Drosophila melanogaster: one gene and its partners. The protein of the gene in region 1 purifies or fractionates together with the protein of each later gene. This does not show direct contact. Each region holds a gene or a part of one and is shown on either strand. Other genes may lie near its edges.

Region 1 (5,714 bases):
CAAGCGTTCGAACCAAGCGCACACTATAGTTGTCTCTTTTTAGCCTGCTCATAGCACAAGGCAGAGCGATGGAGTGAGAGGGCTCGCACATTAAAAAGCGTCATTCTGATCGCTCCCAGTACCGCAGGCTCGTTGGTCTAGAGGTATGATTCTCGCTTCGGGTGCGAGAGGTCCCGGGTTCAATTCCCGGACGAGCCCAAGTTGACGTCGGTTGTAATTTTTTTTTGTTTTTTAAATAATTGCAATGTATCTTAATCCCAGTTTCCTAAGCCCCCAAAAATGTAAGTATTTAAATTTACAATTATTGCTCTCCTTATTTAAATGAAGACGAAATAAAAAAAATCCATGACATTCATAAGCATGATTTGGATTTTGGTTCAGTTATAACGGATGTGTCTGAAAATGAGTTTTTAACATTTTTTTTTTCAATAAAAGGCATTTCAAGAAAAATGATAAAAATTCGCTTTCCATTTGTAATACGGCGTTTGTAGAATATCCCTTGTTTGATTTTTAAATATAAATGTATAAGTCATCTGCTTGTTGTTTTTGATTTTGTTTTTAGTATTATGGATTTGAAATACTTAGAGCAAAACGGGTATCTCCACAAATCGAGTGTTCAGATTGATTACATTTTCATTAATTTCCTTTTTTTTTGTTCTCCATTGTTCGTTCCAATGTTTTGAGTTTGTGAGCTTGAATAACCCCAATCGAATCAAATGAACACTCCTCAAATTGTAGGATTGCTTTCGTGTTTGTGTTAATATTACTTAATATGTAAGCGCTGCCGCGTCCTTGTCTGTATTTTGTGTTTATTCGTAATTCGTAATGCATTGACTTCTGTTTTCTGCTTTTGTTTTTTGAGGGATGCAGTCGCTGCTTTAATCGATCTCAGCGGATTTTCTTACTCGTATTCCAGCACATTTTTATGGTAGAACAATAAATAACTGAAAGAAGTGAAAATAAGTAGTTAGTTAATAATGATTTGATAATCCGAATAAAAAGCTAAATAACGTTGTATATGAATTTAAGATAAGACGTGAAATCAACTTAAGTAAGTTAACATTGAATGCTGCTTTTGCGGTGATAAAGTTGTAATATATTGGTCATTCTTACCCCTCGCTGTCCAGCACCTGCTTGAGCGATGCCATCGTTATCACATGATCATCGCACTTGACCCACGTGTCCTTCTGGTGCCGCACATACGCCGTATAGTGGCCGGTGTCGATGGTGCCCACATGATTGACCACGGCGTACAGAGAGAACCGGAAGTCGCCGTAGGCGTTCTTCTTCTCCGACATAAAGGGCGTCATGTCGAACTCCACGGGGAATTGAATGAACGAGGAGATCTTGCGATCGATCAGAGCTGAGTGCTCGAAGCGTTTCAAATGGAACGACACCACGCTGGGCAGAGTGCGCAGGCTGAACTGTTTGGTGGACTCCTGGTAGGATTTGCAGGTAGAGCACTTGATTTTGGCCGCCGATCCGAGATGCTCGGCCCGAGTGTACCGCTCCAGGCAGTCTATCAGCGTTTTTGGAGTAACACCACCATGCGTTGTTGTTTCGCCCAGGTCCAGCGAAATGTCCCAAAACGGATCGTACGTGGTGGACACTCCGTTGCAGGCCTGGCACACCACATCGCTCTGCAGCATGCCCGTGAAGATCTGGTCAATGATGCAATTACACTGGCCGTAGCAATGCGAGCTGCTCGAGTTGCTGGAATTGGTTCCACTTCCCGAGCCAGAGCTGTTGCTCTTGCTTTCGTGCTCCGCCTTTGCCTTCACGCAGTGCCGATGCAGCACGTCCAGAGTGGCGATGAAGAACTCGTGCGCATCCTGCTGCTCGTAGCCGGCCAAGTGCTTCGCATGGTTCCAGATTAAATGCAGTAGCCGGTGCAGCGACAGCGGCGAACGGGAGCCGGAATAGAACTCCTACAAAGGGGGATAGCATATCGAATAGAAAAGACTCCTCATAAACACCACAGCATATTGAACTCACCTGGAAGAGACGTGACACTTCACAAACGAGACATTTGTGCGATGACTTGCTGCCGCAGTCGTGACGATCTGACATAAAGTAATCGCTGAGCAGGGGCGTGTGAACCAGAGCCTAGAGGAGACAGGAGTAAGTCAGTGAGAGGAGACTCGCCAGTTTAATTGGATTTGCCCACCTGGACGATGCAGTTCATGAAGCAAGTGGCGCCCAGATTAAGCAGACCCCTCAGTCCGATCGTTTGATTGGGCCTCACCAGCCGACGCCTCGCATTGGCCAGCAGCAGATTGGTCTCCTTGGTTGTGGGAACCCACGGCACCCAGCCGATGCTCTTCTGCAGATCCTTCGCCTCCAGCTTGCGGTTGATCAGCGCATACTCGCGACTCCGCGCGTCGTAGATGAAATCTCTGCAGGCGTAGCAGTAGAGCGTTCCGTGGGACAGCTCCAGGGCCACATTGTGCTTCTTGGATCGCAGGTGACTCGTGATGTGGGCCCCCCGACATCCGAAGTAGATGCAGTGCAGGCAAGCGTACAACTGGATGCCGTAGCTGCCGCACTCGAAGCAGTTGCAGTGAATAGCCTGGCGGAGGTAGATTTTAAAATGGCAGCTGATAAAAAATTATATTCGTTTTTTTTCTAATCCCATTAACTTTACAAAAAATACGTCCCATACTAAATGCATAAAAGTGTAACAAAAATTTGAAAACTCTAAATCTCGTAAGCAATATAATATATAATCAATATGAAGCTAAAAATACAAAAGCCATGTAACAATATTAAATATTTTGAATATATTTTTCTTGATATGTAATTTCACCGTAATGAAAACAAAACTTTTTCGATGCAAAAGTATTTTTCACAGTGCCAATTTGTCAGCTGTTAAAACAGCTGTTGCATGCTTTACCCATTCAAAAAAGTCCGCACTGCTTTGTGGTGAGAACGGTGCGTTGTCTGCCACTGTCATCCCACAGCCGGGGTGTCAGTGACCTTTCACGTGACTCACGGCGCACCTCTGATTGTAATTGCGTTCTCCCCTTCGCACACTCGCACATTCTCACCTCACCACGCCAGTAGCGCACTCATTCTAGCTCCCACTCTCTTCCACGCTACTGAACTCACCTTTCGCTCGCGCGCATCTCTGTTGACGCAAGCAGCGAAGTAGGCGTCGATGACCCGGAATGTATCGTAGCTGTGCTCCTTCACATAGCTTTGATAGTGCCGACAACCCGTCTCGGACATGACGGCGCTGCTGGCGTCGGCGCTAGCGTTGGCTTGGGCGCTGGCGTCGCTGCCGGCGTCGGCGCTCTCAAGTTCAATAGCAAGTTTTTGCACGGTACGCAAGCAGTCCGATAGGCGCAAATGTTTGGTGGCATCTAGGGGGTTTTTCGCGTCCCTGTGGCCCTTTGCTACTCTGTCTCGCTGCTTGTCGCTGTTAACTGTTTTGATTAGATCGGCGGTGATAAAGCGACCGGCATTTGTTGTTGTCGCTGCTGCTGCTGCTACTGCTAGTGTTTCGTTCTCGGCCGTTCCCCGGCCCGCTTCTGCACCCACCGCCCACCGTTCCGTTCCCCTGCCGAAGCTTCGGCCACTGCTGCTGCTGCTGCTACTGCTAAATACGCTCGTATTACTATCAACACTATTCTCTTTTGTTTTCGCCCGTTTCGCCGACGACTGCAGCGGCACGAATGCTTTGTCACACTTGCGCTGTTTTCGCCGAATTTTGGCCACTTTTGCGGTTCTTCGCCGGGCGGCCCAATTTTGGAAGTAGTTGGGCTTTTTTTTTGTGAATTTCTGTGATTTTTCGCTTGCTTTTCTTGTTTCTATTTCGCACTGCACGCAAACACATACACACGCGCGCATATGTGTTGGTAGAAGACAGCTGTCAGTGTGACCAGTTGCGAAATCGTACTCAGATGTTGGCATTGGTATTTTTCTAATATAAGAGTATTGAAACATTTAAAACGGAATATTAGTTTAAATAGAAAGTAAACTAAACCATTCAAGATAAAGTTATATTGAAATGGAATCTCTATTCGGGTTATAGGAACAATAAAAGGTTCTAGCAGCCCAAATATTGAAATGCATCCATATTCGGATAATTACGAGCTACTTATTCCTCAAGTTTATAATGGGATACAATTTTGTATACCAGTAACCATTCTTTATTTTTAGACTGGTCCCATTTTATTATAAAACGGTTAAAGTCGCCCAGCTGATGTGTTATCGACAGCAAGCAGCGGGTGGCGCGCAAAATAAAAATACTAAAAGTTAGACGGGAGTCGAAATAATTTGCAGGCACTTTTAGATATGCGAATAAATAAATATTAAGTGACAAATCAGTCGTTAGCACCTTTTTTTCCTTGAACATCCCTCACTTTCGCATTCTGCTTTTCGAATTGCCAACGATTCGATAACTCCGCTGCATCGCTATACAACACTGCTGCATTTGAAAATACCGACATCTGCCTGCGAGTCGCAGCAGGCGCGCTTGTTTTATTTTAAGTCGAAATTAGGCGACTTAGTGACTGAAAAAGATGTACAACGACGAGGTGCGAACGCCGCAAGCCCTCAAGAATCGATACATTACAAATGTGAACGGATTGAAGTGCCGGGCGCGCCGTAACAGCCACTCGAACAGCAGCAACTCGTCGGCGGCGTCGGCAACGCCAACGAATGGCGGCAAAGAAAATGGAAAATACAGCCCCCAGATGTCGGGAAATGTGTGCACCCCGCCCCCGAAAAGGCTGCACAAGGTGCGGAATCCCTTCGAAGGAGCGATGGCCGATCGTTTACACCTGCCACTGATCGCCAGGTGAGTTTTTCGTCTGCTCGAAAAATCCTCTTAACGCGACCCTCTCTTTTCCTGGCAGCCCCTCACTTTTCCGCTCGCGGACACCCCAACTCTCGTCCACCCAGTTCGAGTGGAACATTGACGAGGTCTCCCAACTAAAACCCGCCGACGTGGAGCCCCATGAAACCCAGTTCCACGATTCCCCCGATCCCGAGCAGGAATCCAAGGCCCAGTTGGCCATCAGTGCCTTTTTCAAGGAGTCACTCATTGTGCCCAGTCCGGTGGATTGCCCATTGCGAAAACAGCGCATAATACTCAATTGCAGCGAGGACAACACTCCCATATCGAATAAGTCGCGAAGGATGCGGGATTGCGAGGTGCAAACGGAACTTACTTTGCCGCCGATATTGCCAAAAGCCCTAGAGGATGCCCTGCGTCCGTACTTCCAGCCACATTTGGCTGGCCGCTTGTCTGGCAGGAGCAAGTCAAGTGGTGGTCCCGACATCTTTAATAGTTCCATGCGCCGGAAACTCTTCGATCTGCACAATGTCATTGTTTTGGGCGAACAGGACACGGCAGAGCCATCGAGGTCCATGGTGGGCTCCAGTCCGCAGGGCAAGCAAACAATGTTCGCTGGCAGACTGTCGGATTCCGCATCCGGGGAAAGTAGCTTCGGCTGCCTTTCACCCATTAGAAACCTATGCGGACTGCCGCCTGGCACGCCCGATAATGGTACTTGCTCGGGAAAGAGGAAACTTCTAATGCACGAGCTGGAGCTGCCGTCGCCCATTGCCCCGTCGGAGCATCTCAGTCGGAGATTGGTGCACTCCAAGGTAGAGATCAGCGTTACGGAGCAGCACGACACGTTGTCAGAGCGCACGGCATTGAAGTTCACGCCAGACAGGAGTTCCTCGCCCATGGGCGGCGGACTGGA
Region 2 (7,008 bases), on another chromosome or scaffold:
AACACTTGTCACGTTCGCTCTGATACACAGAGCTTTTAAGATTATTACAAAAATAACATTTTAATTCTCTTGATTAATTTCTGGATGATTTCCTTTTCAATATCAACAATTTATTAGTTGGGTTTTTGTGTATGGATTTATGTATATTTAAAAGAAATATAAAAATACATTTCACATCCATTTATAAATTTGATTTAAGCTTTTTCACTTGAATATAAATTTTTATCAGTGTATCGATCAGTTTACATGTCGTTTTCTACATACATATGTATGTATTTACTTGTACGGTTCCAAATGGCGACAAATAATTTGAATTCTTTGGTTAAATAAGCCGGGTAGTACTTAGTTTATAACATTAAGCTATATCTCTTTCAGAGTTTGATTATAATTATGCTATAGTTGAACTCTCACACACATGTATACACACATATGTACAAAATAAAGAAAAAAAACTTACGCTGAGCTTGTAGCAGAACTAAACGATAAAACTTTCCACTGTTGTTTTTTATGCGCGACAGTTCTATTTATAAACAATTTGCTGTGCACCCGACGAGAATAACAGTTCGATGCGTGCGATTTAATAGACAATTAAGCTATAGACGAATATGGTGGGTGTACCAGCTAAACATGCCGTTGTTCACGCTTCTCGGTAACTGTCATTGCAAAGAAGAAGAGATCAGCTGTTCATTGTTTTGCTCGCCGATTTAAGAGGACATCGCCAAAAATGTTGCGGAAACTATTATTTAACACACAAGCTGTATTAAAACAACAGTCAAACGTGAGTTAATCATGAATGCATTAGATAGAAATTAGATACAAATTGTTACTTTCCAGTTACATCACATAAGGCACTTGGCAACGCCCAAGATATTGCAGCTTGAACAAATTCACATCGATGAAGCCATCAAAATAGAACCCACGTTAGCTGTATTCTCACCTGAAATCTGGCGAAGGGCCCATCAAACTTTTCAAAACCACGGCTTGGAAACCGTGAATTTCCTTAGAATAGTTACCGGTAACCCCGCGATTTTGAAAAGAACGCCGGACAAAATAATAAGCTGCCTGGAAATCTGGAGGGCCTGTCAATTCGGCGAGAATCTACTGCACCTGCTCCTTACGAAGTACCCCGAGTTACTGGACGTTAGCGACTCCCACCAGTTACTTTCCCACATCGGCTTCCTTCAAAGTCGCGTCTCCACCAGCAAAAATGTGTGGAAGTGTTTGATGAACAGTCCGGATTTGATAGCACAATCCGAGGTATCTATTGAGGAGAAACTGAACTTCATCACAGACGTGATGCGCATAGAAGTGCCGGAGTTGGTTAAATCGGCAGCCCTTACCTTGTCATTCGAGGAGCTGCGTTGTCGCCACCAGTTCCTGCTTCGTTTGGGCCTCTTTAAGCCACGACCTCCGAAAGCCGATCCAAATGAGCCGACTACGAACCCCAAACTCTATCAGATTACAGACACTTCCGAGAAGAGTTTCGCCACAAAGATTTGCCACGTCACCCTGCCGGAATACGAAGCCTTCAAGGATCTCTACGCCAAGGAACTGGAGCAAAAGTCCAGAAGAAAGGAGGAGGATGAGCTTAGTGATGAAGATGACTAATGTTACGTTTAATTATGGTTATAGTTTGTGCCAGCAAATAAACGCTTGTAAAAATAGGAAATGTTAAGTATAGTTTTCTATCGCCTTTAAAAAGATTTTAATTCATAAATATATTCAACTGACTTTTCAGCGGAAATGCATGTAATTAATATATCGGCTACGTATGCAACGAATACCTGTGCGACTATCGATAACATATCGCACTTAATCTGCAGCTGCAACAAATACAACGTAACGTAACGAGACGCGAATTGCCATCCCTAAGCAAATACAACGATATTCATAATATCAATCTTTAAACTCGAAAAAGCGAGACAAACTAGAAAGCTTTAATTGATTTCGTTACAGAATCAATTAGGCTATACAACCAACTCGTCTTTTTCGAGTTGACCTGGCATTTTCCTCCACGGAGGCCGGCCAAAAATCCGATTTATCCACGGGTAGGGTAGAACGGTAACCTAAACCCACAAAAAAAACAACAAAACATGGAAGTGTGTTAACGACGTAAGTGTCATTTAATGCCGATATCATTCGGCATTCGACTAAAATTGCCTGCGAGCATTTTAAGTGATTTTTATTTTGTGATTTTCAATCGTGTGCTTTGTTTGTGTTGCATTGGTGTGGGTAAGTGCGTGAGTGTGCTGTGCGTCGGTGTGAGTGGCTGCGCATGTGTGCGGCAGTGCGAGCGAGACGGCGCCACTCGAGTAGCGGTTGTCAAAAACAGCTGATCCAGACCAAGGGGTGCGGGTACCGAGGGGTTGGCGCTCGCGGGGGCGGGGGCAGCACTCACCTGTAAGCTTTCGCTGAAAATTTACGATATCAAAAACAACAGTTTGTTAAATTTCGAGATTCATTCAAAAATGGCAATATACGCATAGAAATACTCCAAGACGTACAGTCTTCACACCCTCCACAAGTGGTTTGTGCAGTGTCCAATACTTTTCCGTTGCTAATAAAATCTATATATGTATGTATGTATGTATTCAGGGTCAGGGTCCTGTGGTCAATGGATATGTTGTATATGTATAAGTGGGTTCTGCTGATATCTATTCATTTAATTATAACGATGGTTCTGTTTATGTTAATCCTAACGTGCACCAAAAAATTTTAATTATAATATAAAAAAATAAAGAAAAAATAAATAATTAATTCTAAATGATTATTCTTGTTTTAATTTACCTTAAATCTAAATCTAATAAAGTTGTAATCTTCTTGAGATATACTTATAAGATTAAATTTGAGTTTTAGGGTTAAACACGCCTGGTGGTGATTCAAACCACGTACATATGTATATGTAATAGAATATACGAATTTATTGTATGAAAACTAGTGATGATTTTAACATGGGCATTTCGTAGGGATTCCGTGGTCCGGGGTTCATGGTGCATAGCCCCAGATTTTGTGTTTTTTATCAGCGATGAATTGCAGTATCAGTTAAAAGCTGTCACTATCAAAGTTTCTCTGGAACTAATAAATCAATCCTGTTTTGCAGGTGCTTTAAGGGGCAATTTTGCTCGAGTGTACCGAATCCCCGGATCCCGCGAGCACAGCTTCTATCCGGAATGCCCCTGAACGATGTGGCCCCCGCCGGTGGTGGAGCTTATCCGGAAAATGGAACCAAGCACAAGGTGTCGGGAATGTGGAAGCCGGACTCGTCGGCCGGCTCCAATTCCGGCTCGGGATCGGCGGGACTATCCCTGTTTAGCCTGCAGGGCCAAAAGTGGCAGCAGGTCTTCGACATGGAAAAGGTCATCAAGCAACTGCGAACGGCTGAGAAGACGTATCTGCGTGGTGGAAAGAACTCCTCCGCCGGCGCAGATCAACAGGCGAAGGTGCAGGTCCAGCGTCTGCAATCGGCGGACATGGCCTACTACGATCTGGCGCCGAAGCTGGCCAGTCGCGATATAGTACTCTGTAGTTCCTGCTCGGGATGTTACACGAAGGCAGGTTTCCAGCACCACATTGCGCTGCAGCATCCTAGCGTCTGGGAGGCCACATCCAGCAAAGTGAATCCCAATCCAAATGGGACAGCCATATCCAGCGACTCTCGTCTCACTGCCACGGAAATCAGTCAGGAGGGCGGGGCTATCGTGCCAAGTTCGCCCACGGATACGCTTTCGGCCTCGACGCTCTCCAGTTGCTCGAACGGGTCCAGCAGCTCGGCTTCACTGCAGCATCCGGCTGCTGCGGGTTCATCCAGCACCACGTCGTCTTCGTCTTCGTCGCGTCACAAGAGCAGCAGCAGTAAAAGTAGCAGTTCCTCCTCGTCTAAGGGCAGCAGCAGCACTTCCGCCGGAAGTAGGTCGCGTTCGAAGTCGTCAAAGAACCGCCACCACTCCTCGCCAGCTCCGGCCCTGCTGGAGTCCAATCACAAGGAGTCAAAGGGATCGAAGAAGAGTTCGGCCATAGCCGCTCCTCCCGTCGTCGCTGCTGTTGTTAAGGAGGAGCCACCATCTGTGGGTGCTGCTCCGGCTGCCATAACCATGTTCTCCTCCTCCAGCAACTCATCCTGCAGCTTACCGCCCACTCCCACGTTGGGAGCGGCCTCCAGCGAGGTGGCGATGGGGGTCAACTATTCACCTGCCCAGCTTCAGACGGATGCGGAAAAGCTGCCCGAGCTGCAGCCAAAGAAAAAGGTATTTCATATAATTGTGACTATAATAACTCAATGATACAATTACCGAAATCCTCTTCAGTTGAAGGGCTCCAGCGATCATCGAATAAAAGCGGAAAAGGAGAAGAACAAAGATAAGTCTCTGGTGAATTCCTACGAGCAGCAGCAAGTGCTCAGCGAACTGGACCAGGCAGTGTCTTCCATCACGGGAGCGGTTTCCGCCGAGCAGGTGGCGCCCGATGAGGAGGAACTGCCCTTGCCCAACACCTCCGACGAGAACTCCATTTCGCAGACGCTCGACGAAATGCTGGACAGCAAGCTGATCAACGAGATTCTGAATAACTTCGATGAGAGCGCTCTGGACACATCGCAACAGCAGTCACAACAGCAAGCGCAGAATGGATCGCTATCGCATCCCGCACAGGCCACTAAAAGGCTGCGCTTTGAGGACGGAACCATTGGCGAGGATTACGCCGTGTACCAGCAGCAGGCGGTTCAGCAGGTTTATGGCGAGGAAGAGCATCAGCAGGAGCTGACCACCATCGATGCCATGCAGTTGCAGCAACTGATTTACCAGCAGCAGCAGATGCTCGAGCAGCAGCAACTGCAAGAGCAGCAGCAACAGCAGCAGCAGGATCAGAAGCTTCAGGATCACGAGCAGCAGCGCCAGTTCAGCGTCTACAACGTGCCGTCTCTGACGGATGAGGCAATGGTCAATCCACAGCAACAGCAGCTGGAGGAGCACATGATCCTGCCCAGTATTATATACGAGATCACCGAGTCGAATCCCGTTTCCATGCTGGAGCAGAAGGTCTTAGCCGAATTCCTAACCAACGCGGGCTACGAAAATGTGGACGTGAATGTCGTGCAATCGGGCGGCATACAAACCAACTTGAGTTCTGGAACGGAGGCAAACCAACTGGCGGATGAACTGGCCGACTTTGAGTTCAGTAAACTGGAGACTGTTAGCGACACCGTAAAGACTGTTAAGCTGGAGGCCAAGGCCGCCAGCCAGCCACCCACAACAAATCCTCAAATCAATCACCATCCATCGCTGGCCAATGCCAAATACCACGAGGACAGCTACTTTAACGTGATGCTGTACTCCGGAGCGCCTCGTCCCTTGGCCATGAACACGTTTGGCATGGTGAAGTTGCCCCAGGGCCTGGGCGTCACCTTCCGCAAGAATCTGTTGACCACGCGGAAGGCGAACAACAATTTGCTATCCCTGTCGGGAGGTAATCACCTGGGCGTGGTCGGTCAGCTGGCCCGCACACCGCCGCCGCCCTCGCCAGCGTTAAGCAACGGTCTGCCGGGTAAGAATCCCGCCTCGGGCAGAACCATTTACGCTCAGCGATCGAATGTCATTGCACAAGATCGCCTGAGGTGCAATAAGAGGGCGCTGGTAGGAGGAAAAGCTGGTGGTGGATCAAGCGGATCGCCGGGAGTCATGACAGCCAAGCGTTTGAATGAACTGCTAATGGGAAAGGCGAAGAAGGAGGAGAAGCCACCACCGGATAGCGAGGATGGCGGCGAGCAGCCGACGAAGGACAAGGAACGCGACAAGGAGGAGGACAACAAGCTGACCTTCAGTTTCTACGAGAAACGCCGCCGACTGTTGGCCGGCAAGCTGGAGCAGCTGCAGCCCCTCGGCCGCCCCAGCTTCACCCTGCCGCTCCAGAGCAACCACAACGCCAGCCAAAGTCAGAGCCACTCGCCACAGCAGCTCCTCAAAAAGCAGCTGCTGCGCACCTTGTCCGACAGCAGCAGCAACATGAACATCAGCAACATGAACAACATCAGCAATTTGAACAGCAGCAACACTCCCAGCGCCAACAGCAATCCTCCCTGGAAGGGGAACAGTTCCAATCCGGGAGGCAACTCCACTCCAACCAGCAGCGACTTGATGCGCGTCTTCGTCTGATCTGAACCGATGGGGAAGGTCAGATGTGCGGACACGCATCCCTAGTTATATGTTTATACAATACCATGCTATTATGTGCAGCCTCTTCTCTAATGCTAAATTAAATTGTAATAATTTTTTAAATTAATTCTTCATTTTTTAAAAGTGATAATTATCTTTTAGTTATCTATTAGTTGATTGTATGTAATTCTTTGTTTATTCTAATTAATTTAACAATTATACATATTATTTTTCGTGGCTAAGCATTATGCTAGGTACTCGTAAATCATTATTTATACACGCTGTAAACTTTTTAAATACAAGAGCATGCCTAAGTTCAATTATACTCCAGACCCAGCGTTGCCTCATTGTGTATATCTTCCTCCAAACGAGGAGCAAGTTATGATTATGTTCCATGTGTTGAGAACAGTAACCGGCGAGCGAAGGAAACCAGCTTAGCCTGCAACGGCATAGTCGACTGTTCTGATGGATCCCATGAGCTGGCACAGGTGTGTGGAAGTGGAAGATAGATTTCGAGGCAACGGCACTGGGTAAGGAACATTGCAGTGGCAAAGGGTAAGGAACAGTGCAGTGGCTGTGGTTAGCCGAAATGTGGGATCCGCCGACCATGTCGGTCAGAAATAACATAAATTGTCCGGAATAGTGTGAAGCCATTCAAAAATTCGTATTAAAATAACGGTCTAAATGGTTTACGAACACGCTAACAATATCTATCGAAGCTTAAAACCTTATAATCCCTACGGTATGCGGCACAACTATAGATATCCTTAAAACAAATAATCACTAAAACGATTAAATAAGTGCCGAATAAATAAGTTACAATTTAAAAGAATATTTTATTGTGTTAAAATTAATTAAGTAA
Region 3 (4,989 bases), 6.1 Mb from region 1:
AAGAATCCGGACATGGCCGCCGGCCGAAAGCCAAAGTTCGTGATGCGACCGCCGCAGGTGCTGCGCGTGGGAACCAAGAAGACCTCCTTTGCCAACTTCATGGACATTGCGAAAACGCTGCATCGCCTGCCCAAGCATCTGCTCGATTTCCTGCTGGCCGAGTTGGGTACCAGTGGCTCCATGGACGGCAACCAGCAGCTGATCATCAAGGGCCGTTTCCAGCCCAAACAGATCGAGAATGTGCTGCGTCGCTACATCAAGGAGTACGTCACCTGTCACACCTGCCGCTCCCCGGAAACGATATTGCAGAAGGACACGCGTCTCTTCTTCCTGCAGTGCGAATCCTGTGGCTCCCGCTGCTCGGTGGCCAGCATTAAGTCAGGTTTCCAGGCTGTCACCGGCAAACGTGCCGCCATACGAGCAAAAACAACCTAAATTCTCCTTATTTAAAACTTTTTGAATTTTTATTACCAGTAAAATTTCAATACAAAAAACCAACGATACTATTTATTTGTTGTATTCTGCATTGTTTTATGCCTTCGTTGCCAGTCGGTTAGGTAGTCTACGAAGCCAATTTCCATATTCCGCGATCGGCCGCTGTCTATGAAGAACTGAAAAGCGTCCAGACCCATCTTGCCGCGGAACCTATTCGGACGACCGCGCAGGAATAGGCTGTGGCCCCTCGAGATGCGCGTGGGATCAATGTACTCCATGGAGACCTGCAGCAGCCGCATCATGCTCACGGCAATGCTCTTGTAGGCCTCGGACGAGGCCAGCGAACTGGCTTCACTGTACAGGCTGCTGATCACGCGTCCATTGAAGGGTTTTTTGGTGATGCTGGCCTCCAGGGAGCCGGTGCCATCATCGATCATGAACTTCATGAACGACTCGTTGTGCGTTCCATTGCCAGTTACAAAGGCGTAGATGATGCAGGTGCAGAAGTGAATCGGATGCACGTCGTCTGTGATGAACACATTCTCGTTCTCCGGATCCTGAGTTGCGCGCTCAATCTGGGATATGGTCAGCGGCACGTTGTCGTGGACCTCCGGACCACATTTGCCCGTGGACTTTTCACTCTGTTGATTCTTGCGTATCACGAAGTTATCCAGCTGGCTTTCTATGTCCTCGAAACTCTGATTAAAATCCATTCTATTTGCTTAGTCTGCGATTTCAAAGGGGATTTCTTTATTGCAGTGCATTTTGCATTAGCGCCAAAAAAAAAAACAGTTGTGAGCATGGGCGTAGACTTCGTATTTTCTTACAAATAATATTAATTAAAATTAATTTTGTGAGCAATTTTCACACAATTGTATTATAAGTTAAAACCAGGGTCACATTAATTTGCAGAACCGCGCAATATTTTCTTTTTAACCCCCTTACAAATTTTCAGTTGTTTTGACTACGCCCCTGCTAATTTTTACTTATTAAATTCAAAGTCTAAAAACATTGTCACCAGATAATACGAGTATACACTATATGGACAAACGTAAAATCGTTAATAGAATATATATATTCAACCATTATTTCACCACCGAGAGAAATTCATTTGCACAAAACGCCAGGTTGGCAGCACCATCATTGCGCACAGCAAGTGGGCAAACTCGTTGTATCGCTTGTGAAATTTAAGGAAAAGTACACTTTGTTCAAAACTAACGAAGAGAATCGCAATATCTGCCGATCTTGGAATGTCTGGTGGTCCATCCATAACGATAAAAAGCCAACCAATCGATGGTAACAACACGGGCAACGCTGCGGCGCAACAGCAGCAGCAGGCAGCGAATGGCGCAGCAACCGCTGGTGCATCTGGAGCCGCTGGCAGCGCCCAGAATCCAGGACACGGAGGAGCTGCGTCCGGCGCTGGCAGTGTGCCGGCAGAGGGAACGCGCCAGAACAGCCTACAGCGCATTCAGCAGCGAAAGCAAAAGGTCTTCAATCTGCCCGTGCCACAGAAACTGGCCAAATTGTCGATGTATTCCGCCTGCCAGTCTGAGGGATGCCGTTGCACCGGCTGGAAGACACCGCAGGAAAATCGCCACCGTGACGTCGAGTCCTCCTACTGTCCGGAGTTCAACGAGGAGTGCCGCAACACCAGCTGTCGCCATTCGCTGAGATCGCACATAGCCCATCTGGACAATATATCCAGTTCCAGCATGAACGAGCTACTGGGCGCCATTATAGACATGGAGAACCTATTCATGTCCATGCAGCGCGTCGAGGACGAGGACACCAAGAAGGTGTACCAGTACCTCTTCCGTTTGCTGCGCCAGTGCGTCCTCACGCGCCAGCAGGCGGTCATCCGGGGTCCTCTCGGCGATCCACCATTCGAGACGCCGTGCATCACCAAGGCTGTGCTCTCGTTGGTCTTCTACAAGTACAATCACCTGAGCACGCCTGAACTCCAAACCATGACCGAGGTGGCCAAGACGTTCTTGAACTTTCTGAACCACTACAACTTTGAATCGCCGTCGACCAGGAGAGGAGATCTCACCCACGAGGATGCCTCTAACTACAAAATCAACTACACCAGGTGGTTGGTGTTCTGCCACGTGCCCGCCTTCTGTAACTCCCTGCGCCAATGTGAAACGTCCCTAGTGTTTGGACGAACGCTCCTGCGCACCGTTTTCCAGTGCATGTCGCAGCAGCTGAAAAAGAAGTGCATCTCCGAGCGGGATCGCTTTCCCGAGGACAAGCGTTCGATCATCACGCTGATGCCGAAGTTTTTGGAAACGCTTCGCGCCGAATTGCTCAAGGATGATTCGCCCATCTGGGATACCAGCTACCGCCCGTCAAATTCCTTTGTCATCCAGCAGAGAAAGCGTAACCAGGAGGTGGCAAATGTACCCATTGGTCCCAGTGCAGCAAGCATTGGTGGAAACAAGAGGACCAGTGTGGGTGAACCGCTCCACAAGCGAATCAAAAAGGAGCCCACCGATCGTCCAAGCAGGTTGGTAATCAGTTTTTTCTTCTTTCAATACATTTACTAATCGTCCTGCCGCAGTGAGAATTTGGATGACCTGCCTGCGGATGTAGTAATGCGCGCCATGAAATCGGTGTCCGAGTCGAAGACCACCAACAAAGCGGAAATTCTCTTTCCGGTTAATGTGTCGCGGGATGAGAACGTCAAGGCGGAGGAGCAGAAGCGAGCCATTGAGTTCCATGTGGTGGGCAATTCGCTGACCAAACCGGTGGACAAGCAGACTGTTTTGTGGCTACTGGGCCTGCAGCTCGTATTTGCCTATCAGCTACCCGAGATGCCGCGCGAGTACATCAGCCAGTTGGTTTTCGACACCAAGCACAAAACACTGGCGCTCATCAAGGAAAACCAACCCATCGGCGGCATCTGTTTCCGCCCGTTTCCGTCGCAAGGCTTCACCGAGATCGTTTTCTGCGCGGTCACCATGTCGGAACAAGTTAAGGGCTATGGCACGCACTTGATGAACCACTTGAAGGACTACAGCATACAGAGGGGTATCAAGCATCTGCTCACATTCGCCGATTGCGATGCCATCGGGTACTTCAAGAAGCAGGGTTTCTCCAAGGACATCAAATTGGCGCGACCAGTTTATGCGGGCTACATCAAGGAGTACGATAGTGCTACTCTCATGCACTGCGAGCTGCATCCAAGCATTGTGAACACGCAGTTCATAGCTGGTTAGTCAAAGAATGGACAAGGAATCCATGGTCCCATTTTACACTCCAATTCTTCCTTTCAGTAATTCGCAGTCAGAGCGAGATTCTGAAGGAGCTGATCGCACAGCGCCACAACGAGGTGCAGAAAGTAAGACCCGGCTTGACTTGCTTCAAGGAGGGCCTGCCCGTGATTCCCGTGGAATCGATTCCTGGTCTGCGGGAGATCGGTTGGAAGCCGCAAAATCGTCCGGCGCGCTCATCGCGACCCCTCGAGGAATCCACCGATCCGGAGAAGCTGGCCACGTCCTTTGCATCCGTGCTGCAATCCGTGCGCCAGCACACCACCGCCTGGCCCTTCCTGCGCCCGGTGACCGCGGCCGAAGTTCCGGACTACTACGATCACATTAAATATCCCATGGACCTGAAGACCATGGGCGAGCGCCTGAAGAAGGGTTACTACCAAACGCGCCGCCTGTTCATGGCGGACATGGCGCGCATTTTCTCCAACTGTCGGTTCTACAATTCGCCCGACACCGAGTATTATCGGTGTGCCAACTCCCTGGAGCGCTACTTCCAGACCAAGATGCGCGAGCTGGGGCTGTGGGACAAATGATGCAGTGATTCCGAGGAGCCCTGCATAAGGCCGAACATTTAATCGAACTAAATTATTATATTAATTCTATTTATTTTTAGAATTCTCCCCAGCTAAAGAAAAACCCATATAGTTAGTTTGTCGTTATAGATACTTAGGTTAAGCTCAGTGTGTCCGTCTTGTTCACAGACGCGTTGTGTCTTTGGGAAGAATAAATCAGATCTATCGCCTACTCATTAACCACGAATCCACCCACTCTCCCTTCATCCAGTGGACAAAACCAATGCTGGTCAAATGATGTGTAACCACTACGTTTTTGTCTTAACTCTTTATTTCACTTTTGATTTCCTACATTCATTGTTTCGCATGCTTTTAAAGTTAGAGTTCTTCTCATTTGTTTTTATTTTGGTTTAGTAAATAATTTCAGTTATAAAATTATATCTTAGGGGCGGGAGTTTAATCGAATCTCTAGGACATTGTACAAAGGCTCATGCATACATAAATACGTGGCTCCACATCTGCGTTTCATCCTTTCCAAGGCTGCACCGGAAATGGCAAAGGATATCGTGGATATGCCGATGGTACAATGAAAATGTTAACCGTAGTTGCTTACTGCTTGAATTCAATTATCCTTTATTACATGGTATATTTAGTTTTTAATTTCCATACGTGGTAGTCTTTACAATTTAGCCATTACTTGCGAAACGTGCTTTCTTTTCAGTGTTCAACTCGATAATTGCGTATTTATATACAAACATACATATGTG
Region 4 (5,620 bases), on another chromosome or scaffold:
CTGAGCGCCGCCAAAAGCCATGTCAGCACCTATTCCAGCTTCACCACACCAGTGATCCCCGCCAAGCTTAGCCAATGTTTAGACGCTTCCCAAGACGATGACGATGAGCAGCGAGAGTTTAGAGACAAAGACGAGACACCGAGCACAGCGAATCGGTTCCCATATCCGAGTGAGTATGGTGCAGAGTTTGTGGCATCTGCCGGCATGTTGGTCATACTGTTGCTAGTTGGCCATTGCCACAGGACCTTGAGCCCTCATCGCGCCAATGCCCATGACAAAGACACAAAGACTTTACATACCAAATTAGTTGATAGTTATGCTTTAGGACTACTCGCTTATGCAAATTTTGAGAGCCCATCCATCGCGGCCGCCTGCTTATGAGTCTCGATGCTGGGAGCAGGCGGTTCAGACGGATCTGGACATGGATCTGTTTCCGTTGCCAGTCGTCAATTATGACGACTGGGGTCGCGCCTGCGCTGTGACTTTTCCTTAGTTCCTTACGCAAGCGAATTCAAATCGAACCGTATCTGTGAAAATCGTGAATCTCAAACTCTTGAATGTCCTCGAACAGTATTGTTAAACATACTTCAGTCCCTAGGATCAGACGCAGGTGCGACACCAAAACCGAATTTGGCGCTCAAATAGACTTATTTAGACGTTTTTAGGTACTCGAATTGATAAATTTTGTTGGCCGTGTGCGTGTTTTTGAAAAGCGCAGCTGCACAAGTAACTTGCCATATCTGTTTAAGATCTGTTAACCCATTTTGTATCGTGTAACTCGTTTTGTTTTTCTCTGGTCCAAGCTAACTAGCAAGAGTAAACTAGCAACAATGCCACCAAAGCCACATGCAACACAAACTAGTCCTCACCGCCCACTGAGATATCTGGAACCCATAACAATTCGGCTACTGCTCGGTGTAAGACAGCAATACTAACAATAATATAAACGTATTCACCATATGAACTAATCGAATAATCAACTATTTATACAGCGTAGCCTACCCCAAATCCTTCCCAATGATTGTAATGATTGTAACCTACAATATCTCGGCAGTCCCACGCCCTATTCATGTTAGATGTAAGCAACCGAAATATTTTTCGGCAGTTATTACTTTTACACTTTTTGTTTGAAACAAAAGATATTTACCCATTTTATATTTTTTTTGTAACTCAGAATTTAGCTTAAGTTTTTAATCCTGACCACCGCTTAAATTTACGTATCGAACTGCATTTAAGCACATGAGTTTTTTATATTTTTATTCAGCACCACGCTACAAATGTTTCAACCATCACATATTCGTATTTATGTTTACCTTGTTTTGGTTTGATATGCACTTCTTTTATTTTAGTTTTATTTTATATATATTAATATTATTTTTTGTGATAATTTAAAAAAGGCAAAACACTCGAATTAAACTTTTAAAATAATTAAATAAACTACTATCAATATTTAACGCATAAACATTAGAGTTTTGAACATGTGCCTAATGTTTGAAATTTGTATTCTATATTTAATGTGTTGGTACTTTTGGTAAGTAGTATAATTTAGAAATTAACTATAATTCAGAGATTCAACAGAATTATGAAAATTAGCTAAAAAGGCTTTAAGACTAGCTATATAGGCGGCACTGTTCCGATGAACTGGTTCGGTTCGTTGGCCGTACATATAAGAATTCTCAGTAGAGCAATATGGCGTTGACTTCGCGTCTGGTCACATTACTGGCATAGGTTTTTTTCGCACAACTCATAATTGTCGTGAAAATCCAGGTTTTGGCCCAAAATGACCACAATCGCGGATTTATTCACAAAGTATAATTGCACAAATTGCCAGGATGATATTCAGGGCATTCGAGTGCACTGCGCGGAGTGCGAAAACTTCGATTTGTGTCTGCAAGTAAGTAACTCACACATACACGCCGTCGAGCGACGCACGTATACATGTTGCAGTAGGGTGGTTCGCTCTTTTTGAGGTTCTAGATACTTGTATATAGATTTGTAAATAATAAAAATCAGTTATTTTAACAAAATATTCTTGAATCACCCTCTTTGGATGGTCAAACTAATGGCCATATGGCCTCAATCCTCTAAATTAACGTCACCCAGATCTTGACAAGAAAAATATTTGCTTTAACTTTTTGTTAATTTAAAGGAAATTTGTTTATTGATTTTGGTAAATAGGTAGACTATCGTAGTTAATTTAATTAAAAATTACTTCCTTACGAATTAGCAGTGTCATTTTTATTTAGTTAAATGCCATAAATTAAAAAGAAAAAAATGTCAAAATAAGTGTCTGAATCTTGTATTAAAAAAAGGCCTGACAAAGCGTAAATTTAGGGAATATGAAATATGTTTCTGTTTTAATTTCCTAATCAAATTATTTTTATCGAGGAACTATTTACACGTTTTCTTTGTCAACATAATCGACCCACCCTGTTACACCCACACTCGTACAATCTAGAGATGCGTCGCCAATTTGGAACCAAAAACTGACTCATCTAGACATTCAAATAATACATACACACAACCGGCAATTTCACCATATTGATTAAAAAACAGCTGACTCTGTATTTATATTGTATTGTTTATTTTTTGCGCAGTGCTTTGCCGCAGGTGCGGAGATCGGCGCCCATCAAAACAACCACTCCTACCAGTTCATGGACACCGGCACTTCCATATTGAGTGTATTTCGTGGAAAGGGGGCGTGGACGGCACGAGAGGAAATCCGCCTGTTGGATGCAATCGAGCAGTACGGCTTTGGAAACTGGGAGGACATTAGCAAGCACATTGAGACGAAGTCAGCGGAGGATGCCAAAGAGGAGTACGTGAATAAGTTTGTAAATGGCACGATTGGAAGGGCCACTTGGACGCCGGCCCAGAGCCAGAGACCCCGCCTTATCGATCACACTGGAGACGACGACGCTGGTCCTCTGGGCACCAATGCTCTCTCTACCTTGCCTCCACTGGAAATCAACTCCGATGAGGCCATGCAGCTGGGCTACATGCCCAACAGGGACAGCTTTGAGCGGGAGTACGATCCCACGGCAGAGCAACTGATCTCGAACATCTCATTAAGCTCCGAGGATACGGAGGTGGATGTGATGCTTAAGCTGGCCCACGTTGACATATACACCCGCCGACTCAGAGAGCGTGCTCGCAGGAAACGGATGGTCAGGGACTATCAATTAGTATCAAATTTCTTCCGAAACAGAAATTACGCTCAGCAACAAGGACTCACCAAGGAGCAGCGCGAGTTTCGGGACAGATTTCGGGTCTACGCCCAGTTCTACACGTGTAACGAGTATGAGCGGCTATTGGGATCACTGGAGCGCGAAAAGGAACTGCGCATTCGACAGTCAGAGCTGTACCGATACCGGTATAATGGCCTGACCAAAATCGCGGAATGCACACATTTCGAGCAGCACGCCGCAACAGCGACGCACCGCTCTACAGGACCATATGGCCATGGCAAGACCGTAAGTTTAAGGCTCCGCAACAGGGGTGCCGAAATCGAACTAACCATTAAATATTTTATTTGGTCTTGAAAATCCGAACTTTTTGGAACTTTGTTATTTTTTTTTTTATTATTAAAATCCAAACATTACCTTTTCTTTCGATTGTTTCACAAAAATTAAAAGAGGTGTTAGGTGACCGGAACCGGTAGCTTTATAATTTTATCAACAATGAGTAGATTAACTTAAATTGAAAGAAAACAAATGATTTAAGTTGAATGTATAGATAAAAGTTTGGATAAATCGATTTGGAATACTTAATACAGAATATTAAATGGTCAAATTGGCTAGTTTCGATTTCATTCCCCTTGGAGTAAGCTTTTCCCACTGAGAATGCATGACGAGTTGAATATCGTGTGTTCTGCCTTGCTTTAACCGTCGTCCTTACCTGAACTGACCCAACTCTTACAATCGCTTTTCCGTCTTGTCTCACGATATTCAGCTCCACTGCATAATAAACGCGCCAAACAACGAGCGTTCGAATGGTTCTATAAGACAATGTTTAACCACAGGACCACACGCATACCTCCAATGGAAGTCATCGGCCGCCAAGCTCTTCCTTGCACTCCCCACAACCGAATCTCAGAAAGGTGTAAGTATTTTGGCAAAAAATTGCAATTACCTTAGAACTTGAATAATTCGGTTTTTCGTTTATTTAGCGAAATGTCAAGCGGCGGCGAGGCAAGTTCAAATTCAATCGCACCAAGAAACACGCTCCACATCGCCGACCCGACCTGCTCCGGCGCATTATTGCCCAGCAAAAACTACTTGGATAGCTGTCGGGGATCGTCGGCAGCTACGATGCTGCAGACGACGGGAATGGTAATGGGGGTAACAGTGGACTCGGGAGCGACGACGGGAGTGACTTCCACGGCTACGACGATGGCGAATCTGCCAACGAACTCGGCGAAGGGAAGCCAACAACATCTGCAGCCGCTGCAGCAGCATCCTCAGCTCCTGCAAAGCGGCAACCAGCACAAAATGCAAAACGAGGCCGCCGGCGGAGGCAGTGATCAGGTGCCCAGCATGAGCCTGAAATTGCGCACCCAGCTGGAGGAACTAAAACATCTGCCACAGCCGCCGGGCAGTGAACTGCTCAGTCACAACGAGCTGGATCTGTGCAAGAAGCATAATATTACGCCCACCACCTACCTCTCGGTTAAGACTGTCTGCTTGAGCGGAGCACCATCGTTGGGTAGTCCTATGGAGACTTCGCTGCGCAAGTTCTTTATCAAGTGCGGCTGGCTGAGCCACTGAACATCTTCCAACTTCCCGCTCCCCTTCGATTAAGAGCCACATGCATTTCCAAGGACTTCACTTTATTTTTGTATTAGTTAGAATAGGTTAAAGACATTTTTATACTGTTCAACTGTCGTTGGCATTTTCATCAAGGTAAAAACTACAAAACTGAAAATCAATTTACTTGTATCAAGTCAAGCTCAATTACAATAAGTGTTGTTCCTTTGTGTGAGATGTCGGGATTCAGATATTGTGTATTAACTAAGCTTAAGTAGGGGACCCAACCAATTGAATATGTATGATATGAATTGTAAATGAAGTAATAAATGTAATAGTGAATGTACAACAAGGACGCGACTTGTTTCTCGGATCTCACAGCTGGGAGACCGCTTTGGACTGAATGCCGCTAGGATATGTAAGAAGTAAGGTATTGAGTAAGCCTCTGATAGCGATAATACCGCGTTGAGTATTTATATTCGTATATTATTTCTTATGGTAGCTAGTTTTCTAGGCAAGATTCTGAACAATGCATTTGAACGTAATTCATTAAAGCCCATGAGAGCATGATAATCAATGTACTAGGCTGAGGAATGGAAAACAATGCTGGAAAAAATATATAAATATCTAATATGTTAACACATATGGAATGTTTTATAAATTAGCGAAGATTAAAACTTGTTAAATGAAAATGCGGTTATCTAATGACATTCTTCGGTATTATAAACTTAACAAAATCACTCATTCAGTTCAAGAAACCCACTAGTTATTTATCCTAGCTTATGTTCGTCCAATGCGGCACCCTAAAGCATGCACTCTGTAACCGTATACCTACAAAAATATATCATATATTTAAACAAATTTATTCTCTTTAC

What was found.
Region 2: the proteins of not (region 1) and Atxn7 purify together in Drosophila melanogaster (affinity purification with western blotting; 2 studies listed by BioGRID, with this or other methods). This does not show direct contact.
Region 3: the proteins of not (region 1) and Gcn5 purify together in Drosophila melanogaster (affinity purification with western blotting, with the first as the bait; 3 studies listed by BioGRID). This does not show direct contact.
Region 4: the proteins of not (region 1) and Ada2b purify together in Drosophila melanogaster (affinity purification with mass spectrometry; 3 studies listed by BioGRID, with this or other methods). This does not show direct contact.

Annotation. Positions count from the first base shown.
Region 1 is NT_037436.4:18,618,264-18,623,977, forward strand, and holds not (non-stop), read right to left. Parts: upstream 3,867-5,714; 5' UTR 3,850-3,866; coding exon 3,109-3,849; intron 2,570-3,108; coding exon 2,168-2,569; intron 2,107-2,167; coding exon 1,996-2,106; intron 1,929-1,995; coding exon 1,114-1,928; intron 945-1,113; coding exon 902-944; 3' UTR 543-901; downstream 1-542. Other genes in the region: bora (aurora borealis), read left to right, coding at 4,524-4,801, 4,860-5,714. UniProt on the Drosophila melanogaster protein: Histone deubiquitinating component of the transcription regulatory histone acetylation (HAT) complex SAGA. Catalyzes the deubiquitination of histone H2B, thereby acting as a coactivator in a large subset of genes.
Region 2 is NT_033779.5:2,374,032-2,381,039, forward strand, and holds Atxn7 (ataxin 7), read left to right. Parts: upstream 1-1,809; 5' UTR 1,810-2,112; exon of another isoform or gene 2,113-2,232; intron 2,233-2,301; exon of another isoform or gene 2,302-2,641; intron 2,642-3,100; 5' UTR 3,101-3,170; coding exon 3,171-4,244; intron 4,245-4,304; coding exon 4,305-6,146; 3' UTR 6,147-6,475; downstream 6,476-7,008. Other genes in the region: CG15390 (uncharacterized protein), read left to right, coding at 725-778, 835-1,608.
Region 3 is NT_037436.4:12,520,600-12,525,588, reverse strand, and holds Gcn5 (Gcn5 acetyltransferase), read left to right. Parts: upstream 1-1,574; 5' UTR 1,575-1,685; coding exon 1,686-2,944; intron 2,945-2,998; coding exon 2,999-3,651; intron 3,652-3,713; coding exon 3,714-4,243; 3' UTR 4,244-4,460; downstream 4,461-4,989. Other genes in the region: eIF2beta (eukaryotic translation initiation factor 2 subunit beta), read left to right, coding at 1-435; ver (verrocchio), read right to left, coding at 504-1,148.
Region 4 is NT_033777.3:8,236,584-8,242,203, reverse strand, and holds Ada2b (transcriptional adaptor 2b), read left to right. Parts: upstream 1-1,688; 5' UTR 1,689-1,780; coding exon 1,781-1,894; intron 1,895-2,597; coding exon 2,598-3,473; intron 3,474-3,951; coding exon of another isoform or gene 3,952-4,021; coding exon 4,022-4,101; intron 4,102-4,168; coding exon 4,169-4,766; 3' UTR 4,767-5,090; downstream 5,091-5,620. UniProt on the Drosophila melanogaster protein: Component of several Gcn5-containing histone acetyltransferase complexes that regulate nucleosome organization; involved in acetylation of histone H3, particularly on Lys-10 (H3K9ac) and Lys-15 (H3K14ac).